Linked DNA regions of Pelodiscus sinensis. The protein of the gene in region 1 interacts with the protein of each later gene in a pairwise test. Links are inferred from orthologs where the notes say so. Each region holds a gene or a part of one and is shown in the gene's direction. Other genes may lie near its edges.

Region 1 (7,575 bases):
AACTCCAGGCCTGCAGGTCATCCCCAGCCAGAGCAGTTGCGCAATCCAGCCTGGGAATCCCAGCGGGCTTGTTCCTTACTGTTCCCCAAGCCCTGCCCCTTCCTGCCATTGCCCTGCCCTCTTCCCACCCCACAGCACTCCATTCTCAGATGATCTGACTTTAGGTGGGGCCTGGTGTGGAATGGCAGCAGCAGTCAGGCTCCCTCATACTCTCTGCAGGGGCAGGAGATGGCCCATGGGCTGGGAGTTTGAGATCCCTGCAGTAGACACTGGAATGCACCTGTCCTATCTACAGTTGACTTAATGGACTTTTCCTAACACAGAGTGGGGAGAGGCAGGGCAAAGATGCTTGAGGACCCCAGAAAGAAGAGACAAACAGGAGGGATCCTCAAGCATCTTTGAGGAAGCAGTTCATCTTAGGTAGGGACTGTCCCTTTCTAGGGCTCATCTCGAATCTCTCCCAGCCCAGGTGGTGCTAGCGTCCCGGCTCTTCTTGGCCAGTGACTCAGTGCATACTCAAAGGAGCCTCCCCACACCTGCTCACCTTTCACTTTCTTCTGGCACTTCAAGGGTGGCAGCAGAGGAACTTTTACAGCAGTAGCACAGATGCCCCAAGACTCACCTTCAAGCTTCACTACTATACCGTCCTGAGTTAGGCTGAGTCTGGCTTTCCACTGGGCCTATAGAAGCGAGGGGCAGAGTGGGCCTTAGGGGGGATGAATGAGCCACAAGCAGCTGAGAGGGATGGGCAATGGGCTATGGGGAAAATGAGTTGGATATTGTACAGAGATTCTTCTAGTCTCGTTGATTGTTGATTTCTCCCTTGCAAGTGGCAAAGATCAGATGTCTGCTGACTTACTCACAAGTCTGCAGCATTTGATACCTGTGGCATAAGTAACATATCTCTGGCTGGAATGGTTTTGTTCTTTCCTCTCCAAGGGCATGTCTAGACTACATGCCTCTGCCGACTGAGGCATGTAAATTAGACATACCGACGTAATCAATGAAGCAGGGATTTAAATAAAAATGGATGCACATAGCACACACAGTTCTATGCCTCTTACTCTTTTCCATCAAACCCAGATGTCACCGCATCTTTGCTTTCCTAGTTCCTGGAAGAGCAAGACATAAATACAGAATCATAAGGTTGAAAGAGACCTCAGAAGGTCATTGAGGGGAGGCTGAAGGTATGATCATAAAAGCTGAGGGTTATGATCATAAAAGCAAGATCTGTCACAACTAAATCATCTCAGCCAGGGCTGTGTCAGCCCAGGACTTAAAAACCTGTAGGGCAGTGTTTCTCAAAGTGGTCCATGGACCCACTCTGAGAAAACTGCTACTGGGCTGCTCCACTTTGTTTACTTACTGGCTCCATAGCCAAGGAGCCTCATGGCTTCCATTGGCTGCAATTTCCCATTTGCAACCAAGGGGATCTGCAGGAAGTAGTGGCCCAGGTCATTCTGCTTCCCGCTGTTCCCCTTGGCTGCAAATGGCAAACCACAGCTAATGGGAGCAGTGAGGCTCCGTGGCTGCAGAGCCAGTAAGTAAACAAACCAGAGTGGCCCCGTAGCAGCTTTTTCAGAATGGGTCCGTGGATCACTTTGAGAAACACTGCCCTAGGGATGGAGACTCCACCACCTCTGTAGGTAACCCATTTCAGTGCTTCACCACCCTCCTAGTGACATAGTTTTCCCTAATAGCCAACCTAGACCTCCAGTTTGAGACCATTGCACCTTGTTCTGCCATCTGTCACCCCTGAGAACAGCCTCTCTCCTTCCTCGTTGGAACCCCTCTTCAGGTAATTGAAGGCTGCTATCAAATCCCCCTTCACTCTTCTCTTAAGTAGACTAAATAAGTCCAAATCCCTCAGCCTCTCCTCATAAGATATGTGCTCCACCCCCTAACCATTTTTGTTGCCCTCCACTGGACTCCTCCAATGCGTTCACATTCTTCTGCAATGGATACAATACTCCAAATGTGGCCTCACCAGTGCCAAATAATCACTTCCATAGATCTGCTGGCAATGCTCCTGCTAATGTACCCCAATATGCCATTAGCCTTGTTGGCTATAAGGGCACACTGTTGACTCCTATTCATCTTCTCATCCACTCATCCCCAGGTCTTTTTCTGCAGAACTGCTGCTTAGCCCTCTCCCCACTGTAGCTGTGCTTGGGATTCTTCCATAAGCAAGCTGGATGATGGACAGAGGCAGCCCGTGACTATAGGCGGACTCGGCTGCTGCCTAGGACACCATCTTAAATGGGGCGCCCGGGGTGCCCGATGCTGACATCTGTCCATTGACGGCCCTGCAGGCGGGGGCGCCAATCGCATGTTCTGCCTGGGGCACCAGCTGCCGCAGCCCACCTCGGGCCACTCCTGGTGGTGGAAGCTTAGTTTTCCCAAGATGGAGGCACTTATAATGTGTTAAAAGAAAGCAGGGAGATTATCCTTCCCATCGTCTTTCATTTAAGAAATTTCCATTGTGGGATACTTCTAGATTCTCACTGACATCTGGAAGTACAGTACAGATGATACTAGGAAACCAGATCATCATTTAACAACTTCATCTATTCAACAGACACACACCAGTTATAAAATTATCACCAGATAATGAGGTTCTGAGATGGGACACGAGGAGAGTGGGGGGAGGAAGGTTGAGGGCAGGATGGAATCACATGAAAGGTAACGTGTGGAAGGCCCTGGTGTCCCTCCCATAAATGCAGTCTTTTGTATTAATTAACACTCTCTAGTGAGACTTTTTACAAATCAAAGTCCTCTGTGTGCTGCATGCTGTTATTACAGACATCTGTGGCACTTTCATTGGAGGAAAATAGGAGGTTGATGCTTTTAGATAAACATTTCCTCTCCCCTCACAAGTTGTTCACTGTTAAGTCTCCCTGGGCTGGGGTGGCAAGTTTGTAGAAATGTTGTTGGTGCCCAGAACTCACTTCTTCCACCTGCCTAAGGCTATGGGAGGAAGTTTGGGTGCTGGGTGCAGGCTCTGGACTTGCACAGGGAATTGGGGTGTAGAAGAGGTGAGGTATCAGGCTCTGGGAGGATGTTTGGGGGCAGAAGAGGATGTAGGTAGAGAGGTGGCATATAGCATTTATCTAAGGCACCTCCTCCGGCAGTAGCTTCTAAGCAGGGGGGCACGCTGGCAGGCATGACTCCCGCAACTCTCACTAACAGCAGGGGCACTTGAAGCAGGTGGAAGGCTAGGTGCCACCAGGGGGAAAACCCAGCCCCAAACTTTGTTGAAGCAGGACCTCTGAATATTTCTGGGGCCCAGGCACCCTGGGTCCATATAACTCCCCACTCTTGGACCTGACACTGTTACGAGCAGTTGGCAGAGAGTCTCCTGTGGTTCTAAGGAGCCTGTGCTTTTGGCACTGGAAGGGAATTCTAGTGTCTGCCAGGTGTTCAGTTTTTGATCAAAATGCCAGGTTGAAAGGAATCCCTGATGGCTCCAGACAACACTGCTGACCAGACAGTTAAAAGTTTGGTCAGCAACGCTGTGTGGAAATGCAGGTTCTGAGCATCTCTTAGAAGCACGGGCATGTCACCCCTCCAACTCCTATGCATACAGGCAACCAGGGAGCTCCACATGCTGCCCCTGACCCAACAGTTGACCCTGCAGCTCCCATTGGTCAGGAATCACGGCCAATGGGAGCTGTTGGGTAGCACCTGGTCCTGTGGACAGGGCAGTAAGCAGAGCTACCTGGCTGGACCTCCACCTAGGAGCCAGAGTTGGAATGCGTCCCTGCTTCCAGGAGCTGCTTGAGGGAAGTGCTGTCTGGAGTCTGCACCCCTCAGCCCACTCCCTGCCTTCAAACCCAGCCGCACCTCAGTCTGCACCCTGGGCTGGTGTCCTTATCTCTGTACCCCACCTACCTGTTCCACCAAGGGATAGCTCAGTGGTTTGAGCATTGGCCTGCTAAACCCAGGGTTGAGAGTTCAATCCTTACGGGGGAGGGGCATTTAGGGCTTTGGTGCAAATCTGTCAGGGATGGTACTTGGTCCTGCTATGAGGGCAGGAGACTGGACTCAATGACCTTTCAAGGTCCCTGTGAGATGGTAGATGCCACCTGCTGAATCTCTTGGTCCCAGCCTCTATTCTCTCCCCCCAGCGCAGGGTGGTGCCAGTGCAAGTGGGGAAGGGAAGCCTCGCTTCCCAGCCCGGGGGAGGCCAAAATGGGTGGGGCTGCAGAGCGGGCAGCGGGTAGTGTCCCCGGGCAGGGCCATTTTCCTGGCACCGGGGGGGGGGGGGGGCGTCTCCCAGGGCCGGAGTCACTGGGGCGGGGCTGGCACTTCCCCTCTCACCCCTCCCCCTCCCGCGGAGCTGGCGCTGGAGCAGGGCGGCCTTTGCCCGCCAGGGGGCGCTGCCGTCCGCGCGCGCGCCCGGGGCCTGCAGCCGGCAAGACACGCCCCTTTCCGGAAGAGTGAGGTAATGCTTGGGTCAGGAGCGCAGTGATTGGCCGAGGATCTGCGCGGGGGGGCAGGCCATTGGCGGGGGGGCGGAGCCTGTTGCCGATATATAGAGGGGCCGCGCGGCCGGCCGCCTCCACACGGCGCTGCGGGGGCGCAGAGGGGGAATCGGCGTCGGGTCGGGTCCTGTGTCCGCGTCATGCTCGGAGCCTGACTGAGCCGCCGCGCCGGGCACACGAATGAACAAGCGGCTGCTGCTCCTCTTCACGTACCGGGGACTCGCCAGCCGGGGGGGCCGCAGGGGGAAGCGCCGCCGAAAATGGCCCCGTTCCGCATCCGCAGCGCAAGGCCCGAGGACTGCCCCGACCTGCTGCGCCTCATCAAGGTGCCGCCGGCGGGGGGATGGGTGCGGCGGGGCGGGGCTTACTGGGGGGGGGTTGCTGCTGCGGGGGGGGGGGGGTAAAATTTGTTTTCTGCCTAAATCTCCTACCCAGGACCTTTGCCCCGGTTTGGGGGGGGGGGGGGCTCGAAACTCCTCCAGTGTCAGTTTTGTCCGCCCAGAACCAAGAACTCCTAATTTGGCAAAAACAAGTTGTTTGTGTTCAGTTCACGGGCACGCGGGGGCTCTTCGCTCTTGGCAGCGGGCAAGTGGCTGCCTCTCTGCTCTGCTGTGTATAAATAGCACTTGGATAAGAAATGCCTCCTTGAGGCATGGAAATAAATGTATATCTGTGCATGTATTTTTTTTCAGGAACTAGCTAAATATGAGGATATGGAGGATCAAGTAGTCCTAACTGAAAAAGGTAACATGAGCTGCTCAGAGTTTGGTGTGGTGTAGTCCTACTACTGTTAATATTTAATACACGTCAGCCTATTGTCATTTTGTAGATCTGCTTGAAGATGGCTTTGGTGAGCACCCTTTCTACCACTGTCTTGTTGCAGAAGTTCCAGAAGAACAGTGGACCGCTGAAGGTAAGATTTCCTGCTACTCTTTTAAAATAAGAAATGCACAGGATGTATGTAACACATTATTTAAAGCTGCTGATTATACATAAAGCCCCAGCTGGGAATTTGGATAAGAAGAAAGTTAAAATACAGTTATTGATATTGAAGAGTTGTGATATTTTTCTAAAATGATCAGCCATTTTGAAGACACTGGAGACCAGGTATAATATATATGATACACAGTAATTCCATTTAATTAGTTTGTTCTTGTTTGACCCTAATTTCCCTTAATGTAATCCTGTTGAATCACATTTTTTCTTTAATTTGTCCCCAATCTTCAGGTTACAGTCTCTAGCTTCGCCATGTACATGGCCCTTCCGTGTACATGGATGGGCGGGGAGGTAACTAAAAGATCCGTTACACAATAAAGTAGATGATCATGATACATGAGGTAAGGTCTAACAGGGACAAGTACTATTCCCAAACATTTACCAAAAAACACACGGTAGATCAGAAATCCTGTATGCACTCTCTTTTTATGAGTATGTGCAAACTACTATGGCTAACAACATGATTTGAAGTCTCAAGGTTTTAGGACTGAGTGGGATGATATTGGAAGAGGGTACCAGTTTTGCACCTGACAGTTGGCTACTCTTACAGAGTGAGCCATAGAGTTGTTTCAAGCAAACAAGGAAAGCTGTTGGCCAAAGTAGATATGTTTCTGGTGCCCAGGATACAGACTGTCACTTTGTTAATGGGAACACAATCCAAGGAGGTGCTGGAGATGCCATTGTTAACTTATGGCTTCCTGGGAGCACTCCTGGTTTTCCCACTGAGTAATTTTTGAGAGATACTGATTGGAAAACAGTCTTTTAAAGGTGTAGTTTTTAGATTTACTGTTAGTGTTGTGTTACAATTTTTAAGAAAGCAGAATTGAGCAAAGTGCCAGCATATTCTGAACTGCCGTGTTAAATGTAAGCCAGTTTTATATTCCAAAGTGGACATACTGATAATAGGGTATGTATAATGTGTCTGTAGCAGAAAGCCTTAGATGTTCATTGTTCGCTATAACCGTAAACACTGCCTTCCAAGAGCTAGAAAGATAATCTTCATTCCACAACACATCTCAAGCTATCAGAATTCCTGTTTTACCTACAACTCAGTATGCTTATTGCAAACTTCCATCCTTGAACCAGGCTTATGACAGTTAATACATTAATGGTTGCATGTGAAACCTAGGTATTTAGGTTGTATGCATGCAAGTTGAAATATACTAATCTTGTTGCTTTTCAAATTTAAGGGTATTTTTGCTGATGTAATTCTTTGTTACAGGACATCTTATTGTGGGTTTTGCCATGTATTACTTCACTTATGACCCTTGGATTGGAAAATTGCTGTACCTTGAAGATTTCTTTGTAATGTCAGAGTTCAGAGGTATATTTTAACAAATAGCTTCAAAATGGACTGTTCTATAATTTTTTTTAAAAATTACAACCAACCTTTCTTGACTTTTTAGGACTTGGCATTGGTTCAGAAATTCTGAAGAATCTGAGTCAGGTAAATAGTTCCATTCTCTGTCAGATTTTTAGCACAAGAAGACCACAGCAGAGAAGCAAGTCTGTTTAGCTCAATTAATATTACCCTTCAATAGTACTTGAAAATGAGTGATTCAGTTATGGTAATAAAAGGGACAAATGGACATATGGGGTAGGTTTATCAAATTCTGTAAAATCCTACTGGTTTAGTATCTGTCAGTACTTCATAGAATCAGAATTGACAGTCCCTCATCTCCATTGTGCCCAACGAGACCAAGGTGGGTTGAAGGAAATTGCTATGATTAAAACAGCTGCCAATATTAATGGCAGTCTTCACTTCAGCAATATGATGTGTGGAGAGACTTGCCTATCGGTAATGGAGGAATAGATTTCCATATGCAATTAATAAAATTGCTACACACCTAATAAATATACTGGTCATGTGTTTGTAGGTTGCTCTCAAATGCCGCTGTAGCAGCATGCACTTTATAGTGGCAGAATGGAATGAACCTTCTATCAAGTTCTACAAAAGAAGAGGTGCTTCTGATCTGTCCTCTGAGGAAGGATGGAGGCTCTTCAAAATTGACAAAGAACATCTGTTGAAAATGGCAACTGAAGAATGAGGAATTATTCCAGCAAATGACAAATCCATGAATCATACTTTGAATAA
Region 2 (7,557 bases), on another chromosome or scaffold:
TATGCTCAAAAACACGAATCTCCTAACTCCTGACCTTGTACACGAACACAAAGACAATCTCTTCTAGTATAATATGTGTAAACTGTATGCATAATACTTTCTAACATGGAGTCCTTCAACAAAATGTATAGCACCTACAGGGTGTGACTGCACAGCAGGGCTTAACTCGAAATAAACTAAGCAAATTGAACTACGTCAATTGCATAGCTTATTTCAAAATTGGGAGCATCTACACAACACTTATTTAGAAATAGAGACTCTTCCTCCGACTTCCCTGTGAGGGGGGTGCGGTCTCAGAAGACCCCTTTTGGTGCCTCCCAGGGTGCTGACACGGCCACTGCCACTCGCCTTCCCACTCTCTGGGGCTCTTCACTGCCTGGTCCTGCCAGGCCAGCTCCCTGGTCTCCCCCAATCACGGCCCTGAGCTGAGATCTCTGACCCCCAAGAAGCAGTACAGTTACTGAACCTCTTCAAGTTTGATTAGAGTGCAGTTTAGGGCCCAGCTCTTGGGATACCACTCCCCAAATGACATCAAACCCCAAAGAATTAGGTAAGTCACCTTTAACAATGAAAGGGGGAATGTGCACACTGATTGCTCTCCCATGTAATAATTGCTTACACTGGGTTTGATAGAAAATAAAAGTGATTTTATTAAGTACAAGCAGTAGGATTTGAGTGGTAATAAGCGAGAACAGGCAGAGCAAAGTAGATTACAAATCAAAAGAAACAAAAATGCTTGGCTAATTCTACCCTGGAACCTCAGTGCAAACTTTTCAAACTCACCCTAAAACATCTTTTCCAGCTGCCCTTGCAAATCAGGGCTGTCTCCCCACCCTGGGGTCTTCGGCTCCTTCCTGCAGGTGCAGCCCAGCCAAAAGACCAAAGGCTCCTGCCTTCCTATTCTTTTTAAAGCATTCCCTTGTTCTATGGGGAATCCCTAAGGACTACTGCTAAGCCTTAAGGACAAAAGGCTATTTGCATATTACTGCTGAGACACTGGGGTCCCAATTGATGGCTTTCCATTTACACATTTAAAAATCATAAAGTATACCCTACTCCATATGTCTAATTTTACACACAAAAATGATACACACATCAAAATAAGATAAACAGAATCAGCTGATCATGACATGAAGATTGATAGGTTACATGAAATAATTTGCTCCAAGCACCTTTGAGTTATTTATATTAATGTTCTTTGGGGGGGGGGGGAGGGGGGGAAGGGATGTCCATCACATTCCCTTACTCCTTGTACAATGAGGGTTGCAGGAATCAGAGTAAGAAGTCCTCCAGCATGACAGTATTTTGACTTTATTTTGAAATAACTGCCTGCTGTGTAGACATGGACTAAGTATGGACGAAATAATGTGGCTGTGTAGACGTACCCACAGTTTTTGGTCTGATTCTGCAGTTTCTCCATGTGTGTCCCTTCCCCTGATGTCAATGGCAGCTGTTTGATATGAGAACTTCAAGTGCAGCCTGTAGATCCTAAAAGCATCGCTTTCCATTCAAATAATTGGACAAATTGGTGGCAGATATGACACAAATTACAAGACACTATCAAATACATTTGCTACTGGAAAACATATGTGCCATACAGTGAAACATATCAAAATTATTTTCTCTACATCTGTGACAATTTGGCACAATACCAGTTTGCAATGTGAGACATCTCTAGGCACAGAGCTACTGGAAAAGTTCTTGAAGCATTTTTGAATTCTTTGTCTTGAACCAAAATGTTGCTCTTTCCAGTTTCCCCCCAAATATATGGAATTTTAACAGTCCAAAGGCAGCATTAATTGTGATCTCACAGTCTAATCTCTCCCCAAATTATTCCTGACCAAAGCAGGAGCATGTAACTGCTGTCCATAGCCTCATAGCCAGAACAAGGAGTATATGTGCCAAATTTCACAGATCATGCTTCTGACCAGCCACTAGAATGGCCTGGTTCTACTTGCCAAAGAATACTTGCAAAGGCATCCTCTCCATGACTTTTTCTGAGATCCTTAACTGATGTGAAAATTTACCACCCCATATTTTCCCAACTCCACTCAGTTTCCTTTGGCATCTCATCAGGAGCAAATGCCACACACAGTCTAACACCTAATATCTCCTGGGTTTTGTATGCCTTCACAATGATTGTACTCTCTGCTTGCCTTGTTTCAAAACTGCAAATACAGAGGGAGGACATTTGATTCAGTACATTGAGCAAGCAGAGTTTCCCCCCTTGCTGAGAAGGAACCAAATATATCTAGCCTAAGTGATTCTTGCCAGGTTTTTTACTAACCTCATCTTAAAAGCTCCTAATGACAGGGATTCCACAGTGCAAATAATTCACTGAGCTTCATTCATCTTTATTTATGATAAAACCTAGAGGTTGAAACAACTGAGGCCCCATTGTATTCACTGTATGAATGCATAGAAATGGGCAGTCCCTGCTCCATTTCCCAGTCAAAACAGATTAGAGAGACAAAATGTGGGAGAGAGGAACTATAATTACAGATAGGGAACTGAAGCGCAGAAAAGTGATCTGTCCAATGAGACCCAGGAAACTTGTCACAGAACTAGGGGTAAAGCCAGGTTTCCTGAGTCCCTACTTAGTGCCTTACCTCAGGGCTATCCACTCTCCAAGACTATCTTCCCTTCTAACATTCCTTCTTCTAACATTGTTGTTTTGAAGAATCTCCCTGATCATGAGCTTAAAGGGAATCCAAGAAGAATAGAGAAAGTGCTAAGACTGAAAATCAACCACTTGTGCTATTTTTGTTCGAGTCTCCCTTTTCATCCTTCTGTGCAATCCAGGTCAGGATGGATCCAACAGGATCAAGGGGTTGGGTGCATGATTTTATGGGACTGCTGCATCAGTTTGCATTATGATCTGGATTTTTTATGTGCACTGGGAGTTTTTATTTCCACCCTTTATTTTGTTTGAGTGGGGTTACATTCAGATGCCAGTTATGCGTTTTTCTCATGATATTAGGCTGGGGTGCATTAGGATCTAGATTTTTTTTAGTGGAATAGGAGTGGTTATGCTTATTTTCCAGTTAGATCTCCCCATCCCCTACATGAATGTTGTAAAAACCTGGATCTGGCTCCAGCTGGATTTTGGGCATATTTGATATCAAGTCCCACATTCTACTATCTGCTTGTTTTTTTGGTGGAGTAGGAGGAGCTACTCTTATTTCTTCTTCCTGCTGTGGTTTTTTTTTTTTTTTTTGAGGAGAGTAAGGGCTAAAAGTGGATGGATCTGGTAGGATTCAAATCCATATCTGGGGTTTCGTAATGCTCTGCATAGTGAGCAGCTAGACTTATTTCTCTGTAGGAGCATTACAATTTGAGGCCAAAGTTTGGCAGGATTCAGGTATTAGATCCAGGGTTTTGCAATGTTCCTACTCCAGGGAGCACTGAATCAACAGTGTGTCCTTGTAGTTAAGAAGGCTAACAGCATATTAGGGTGCATTAGGAGGAGCATGCCAGCAGATCTAGAGAAGCGATTTTTCCCATTTATTTGGCTCTGGTGAGGCCACATTTGGAGTGTTGAGTCCAGTTCTGGGCCTCCCACTATAGAAAGGATGTGGATGCATTGGAGAGGGTCCAGCAGCGGGCAACCAAAATGATTAGCGGGCAGGTGCACATAGCCTACCGGGAGAGGGTGAGGGATTTGGGCTTATTTAGTCTGCAGAAGAGAAGAGTGAGGGGGGATTGATAGCACCCTTCAACTTCTGGAAGGGAGGTTCCAAAGAGGATGCAGAGCTGCTATTGCCAGTAGTGACAGACGACAGAACAAGGAGCAATGGTCTCAAGTTACAGTGGGGGAGGTCTAGGTTGGATATTAGGAAAAACTATTTCGCTAGGAGAGTGGTGAAGCACTGGGATGGGTTACCTAGGGAGGTGGTGGACTCTCCATCTCTAGAGGTTTTTAAGTCCTGGCTTGACAAAGCCCTGGCTGGGATGATTTAGTTGGGATTGGTCCTGCCTTGGGCACGGGGCTGGACTCAATGACTCCTGAGGTCTATTCCAGCCCTAGGATTCTATGATTCTAGGGTGGATTGGATTTCCCGCAAACCCCCCCCCCCCTCCAATAAGAGCAGTAGGGCTGCTTTTCTGTTATGAAGCAACACATTGGGAAATCATGGCCAAAAACCAGCAGGAGCCAGGTAGATCCAGCTGTTCACTGATGTTGTGTGCCACACTTATTCCTTGATTCCATTTGAAATTCCCAGTGCCTCTTGAGCGGCATAGATTTTCTTTAAAAAAGACAGCCCTCGGCACGGACCCGAGCTCTCCCTTGTATTAGCCAAGGTATGTATTATTCAACTCTGGCATATTTCTTTCAATAATTAATATATGACCACAAAAAGAAACAATGCGGGCGGGGGGGGGGGGGGGGGGAGATTGTAAATTGCTTAATGAGTGCAAGGAGGGCTGTGGCCGCTAGGGGCTGGCCGAGAGCTGGAAAGCCCAGGGAATAAATCAGACCTGGCGTTCGTCCTTCAGTGGCACGTAAACACAGTTGGGAATCGGGCAGCAGACGGCTGACAAAGGGGGCGAGAGCGCGGGAAAGAGCAACAGTTCCTGCGCCCGCAACTCACTGAGGCCAGAGTTAGCGGGAGCGCGGCGCAGGGGCTCGGGAGCGCGGGCGCGAAAGCCTCGCGGGGGGTCGGTTGTGTTGGGTTTAATTGCCTCGCTCCTCCTCGCCCCCGCCCTCCAAATAATAGCAGCAGCAACAACAAGTGGATGCGGTGTGCGCTGGACTGCGGGGCGCTCGGCTGCAGTGTAAACGGGCGTGCGAGGGGAATTGCCACCAACAGGGCGCCTCCTGCTATCACTCGCCAGTGCTCGGCTCGCACAGGGATTATTCCCCGTTGATTTCACCCTCCCGCCAGCGCCCGCTTTGGAGAGACAAGTGATCACACACACACACAAGCGTGTCCTCCCGCGCGCGCGCACACACACTCTCTCACACACACACTCTCACGCACACACACACACACACACGAATCCTCTTTTTTGTTTCCTCCTGGAGCAAGATTCTTGATTGTTGCTGTTTTGCTAAGCTCTGGGCTAAGAAGTGACCGTCGCTGACCAGATTTCTCCAGAGCTGGGCTCCCCATCTGGCTCCCCCTGGGAGATCTGCTTGTGTACAAAGAGAACCGAGACAAATAAGTCATCCACCTGTAGTTTTGGCTGCCCCTACACCTGCAACCCTAGGCTGCTTAGTTAGCACCGTCCCCTTCTCAGGAGCTCTTTCTCCACATCCTTGGACGAGCCAGAAGAGCGTTGCTATTTCTCTGCCTAGGAACAGTAAGTATAATAGCATTTTTCTTCCTGCAGCATATTCAGAAAGGGGTGTGTGCTGTTTTTAGGGGTGTGTGTGTGTGTGTGTGTGTTTGGGTGACCGTGTGTTGTTGCTCCAGGAAGCTACAGTTTGTATTTTTTTGTCAGACAAGCATGGATGTTGGTCACTGGATATGCCCAGGTATGTACCTTTTACTAAGTGACAGTTTAGTAAAAGGTGCATTGTGACTACATCACAAGTTAGATTTGAAATGTACTGTATCATTCCTGCAGTTAATTAAGTTCCCAATATGTAGCAGAGCTATTTTGTATACATCTCCGTGTCACATTTGATATACGTAGAAGATTTTATACATACAAATACAGTCTATATGTAAAGTCTTGCAAATTGTGACTGCCATGTACAGTAGTATTGATGTGAATGTTGCGCTCTCTCCTAGAGTTAGGAAGATAAAACAATTACATACTTAAGTACACCTATATGTGTATACACACACACACTCGTATCTGTACACACAATCATAGAAAACCTATGGGTGTATGGAATGAATGTGTGTGATGTATTAATGTGAAGGGGGTGTGTGTATGTGTGGCTGAACATCTTAGTAAATGACACAATTTGCATTTGACCTACACTGTGGCATCTTAGGAAAACGAACCAACCTTTTCTAAACCTTTCTGTTTTCTTTGTTATTTTTGTATGTATGTGTGTTTGCTGCATGTGCCTCAGGTTAAGTGCTTCTTCTGCATGAGCATAACCAAAGGGTGATCCACTCTCTTGTCCCCTATGGAGTCCTCCAAGCCAGTGTTGCAGCCTTCTCCTCCTCCTCTTGCCACTGCAGCTACTGCCCTGGCTGCTGCTCCGAGGTTTGAGACTCTGTTGACAGGCTGAAGAAAGAGGGCTTGCAAAGACCTCCTCACTGTGTAAACAAAATGATGGCTGGAAGTTACTTCAACTCCCTCAATATCATTATTAAACAGTAATCATATTGCTAGACCAAAGCATTACTTGGAGAAAATGATGAGAAAAGAGACTATTTGCATTTGGTTACAGTGATAAACTAAAGACCTGAAACTTTTCTTTGTCAAGAAAACAACAGGACAGTTACCTCGTTTTGTATGAACACTTGGCTCTTTATTGGGTGCAGTCCTTGGAGCTACAACAAAATCACACATTTGAAAAGATGTGTGGATTCTGTATTGGCCACTGAAGTATCATAAAAATAAAGAGGCTTGCCTGATGAAAGGATGAGGCCTTGACTCTTTCTGAAATCAAAACTGAAGGCTGCATCTTTTCTTTTATTTTTTTTTGTGAACAAAACACGGTTATATTTGTCAGACATCCTGAATGATAAGAAAATGCAGATTTTGTGGTGGTTACAATTTCACAAAACACAAATTCAGTTTTACTAATACCATCATGTACTGTGCTTCCAAGAAACTGTCCTCCAAATGCAAATGGCTTTGAACTTTCCCTCATAAAAGTCAAGGTGTGACTATAGATATCCCAGACTATTTTGTATTAAACAAACAGTTACAAAATGGAGGTTGCAATGGTGAGTGCAGAGAGCTCTGGCTGCAACAGCCACATGCCCTATGGATATGCTGTCCAGGCTCGGGCTCGGGAGAGAGAAAGACTGGCACACTCGAGGGCAGCGGCAGCTGCAGCTGTGGCAGCAGCAACAGCAGCAGTAGAAGGCGGCGCCTCGGGAGGAGGTGGTCCCTATCATCACTACCACCAGATACAGAGTCGGGGGGCTTCTTCTTCTCACGATGGCAATGCACCACATAGCAGTTTGCCCTGGCATCAAAGCAGTAGAAGGAGAAAGCGAGGGAGAAAAAGGAGCCACTATTTGAGTAGCAGGGAGTGTGGGGCCTCCTTCCTCTGTTCTGAGCTGCTGCCTCTAAGTGGCTCTGAAGAGAAGATACTGAAGGACTTGAGTGAGGAGGAAGAGGAGGATGAGGAGGAGGATGAAGAAGATGAGGAGGAAGGGAAGTTCTACTACAGTGACGAGGATGAAGTGGATGAATGTTCGTATTTGGACCACCCACCTGATGATGGTGGAGGTGACGGCGGCCCTGGGGGCTACAGCACAGTGCGCTACAGCGAGTATGAGTGCTGCGAACGGGTAGTGATCAATGTATCAGGACTGCGGTTTGAGACTCAGCTGAAGACCTTGGCTCAGTTTCCTGAAACATTGCTGGGGGATCCGGCAAAGCGGGGTAGGTACTTTGACCCACTCAGGAATGAGTACTTCT

Evidence for each region. The genes of interacting proteins can lie anywhere in the genome.
Region 2: the proteins of SAT1 (region 1) and KCNA4 interact in binary tests that used the Homo sapiens proteins (3 or more experiments, as listed by UniProt). The link is inferred for Pelodiscus sinensis from reciprocal best matches to the Homo sapiens genes SAT1 and KCNA4.

What each region holds. Positions count from the first base shown.
Region 1 is NC_134711.1:205,581,904-205,589,478, reverse strand, and holds the start of SAT1 (diamine acetyltransferase 1), read left to right. Parts: upstream 1-4,551; 5' UTR 4,552-4,744; coding exon 4,745-4,810; intron 4,811-5,176; coding exon 5,177-5,228; intron 5,229-5,313; coding exon 5,314-5,397; intron 5,398-6,702; coding exon 6,703-6,804; intron 6,805-6,886; coding exon 6,887-6,927; intron 6,928-7,357; coding exon 7,358-7,528; 3' UTR 7,529-7,575. UniProt on the Homo sapiens protein: Enzyme which catalyzes the acetylation of polyamines. Substrate specificity: norspermidine = spermidine >> spermine > N(1)-acetylspermine. This highly regulated enzyme allows a fine attenuation of the intracellular concentration of polyamines.
Region 2 is NC_134714.1:95,610,452-95,618,008, reverse strand, and holds the start of KCNA4 (potassium voltage-gated channel subfamily A member 4), read left to right. Parts: upstream 1-4,491; 5' UTR 4,492-5,304; intron 5,305-6,028; 5' UTR 6,029-6,839; coding exon 6,840-7,557. UniProt on the Homo sapiens protein: Voltage-gated potassium channel that mediates transmembrane potassium transport in excitable membranes. Forms tetrameric potassium-selective channels through which potassium ions pass in accordance with their electrochemical gradient.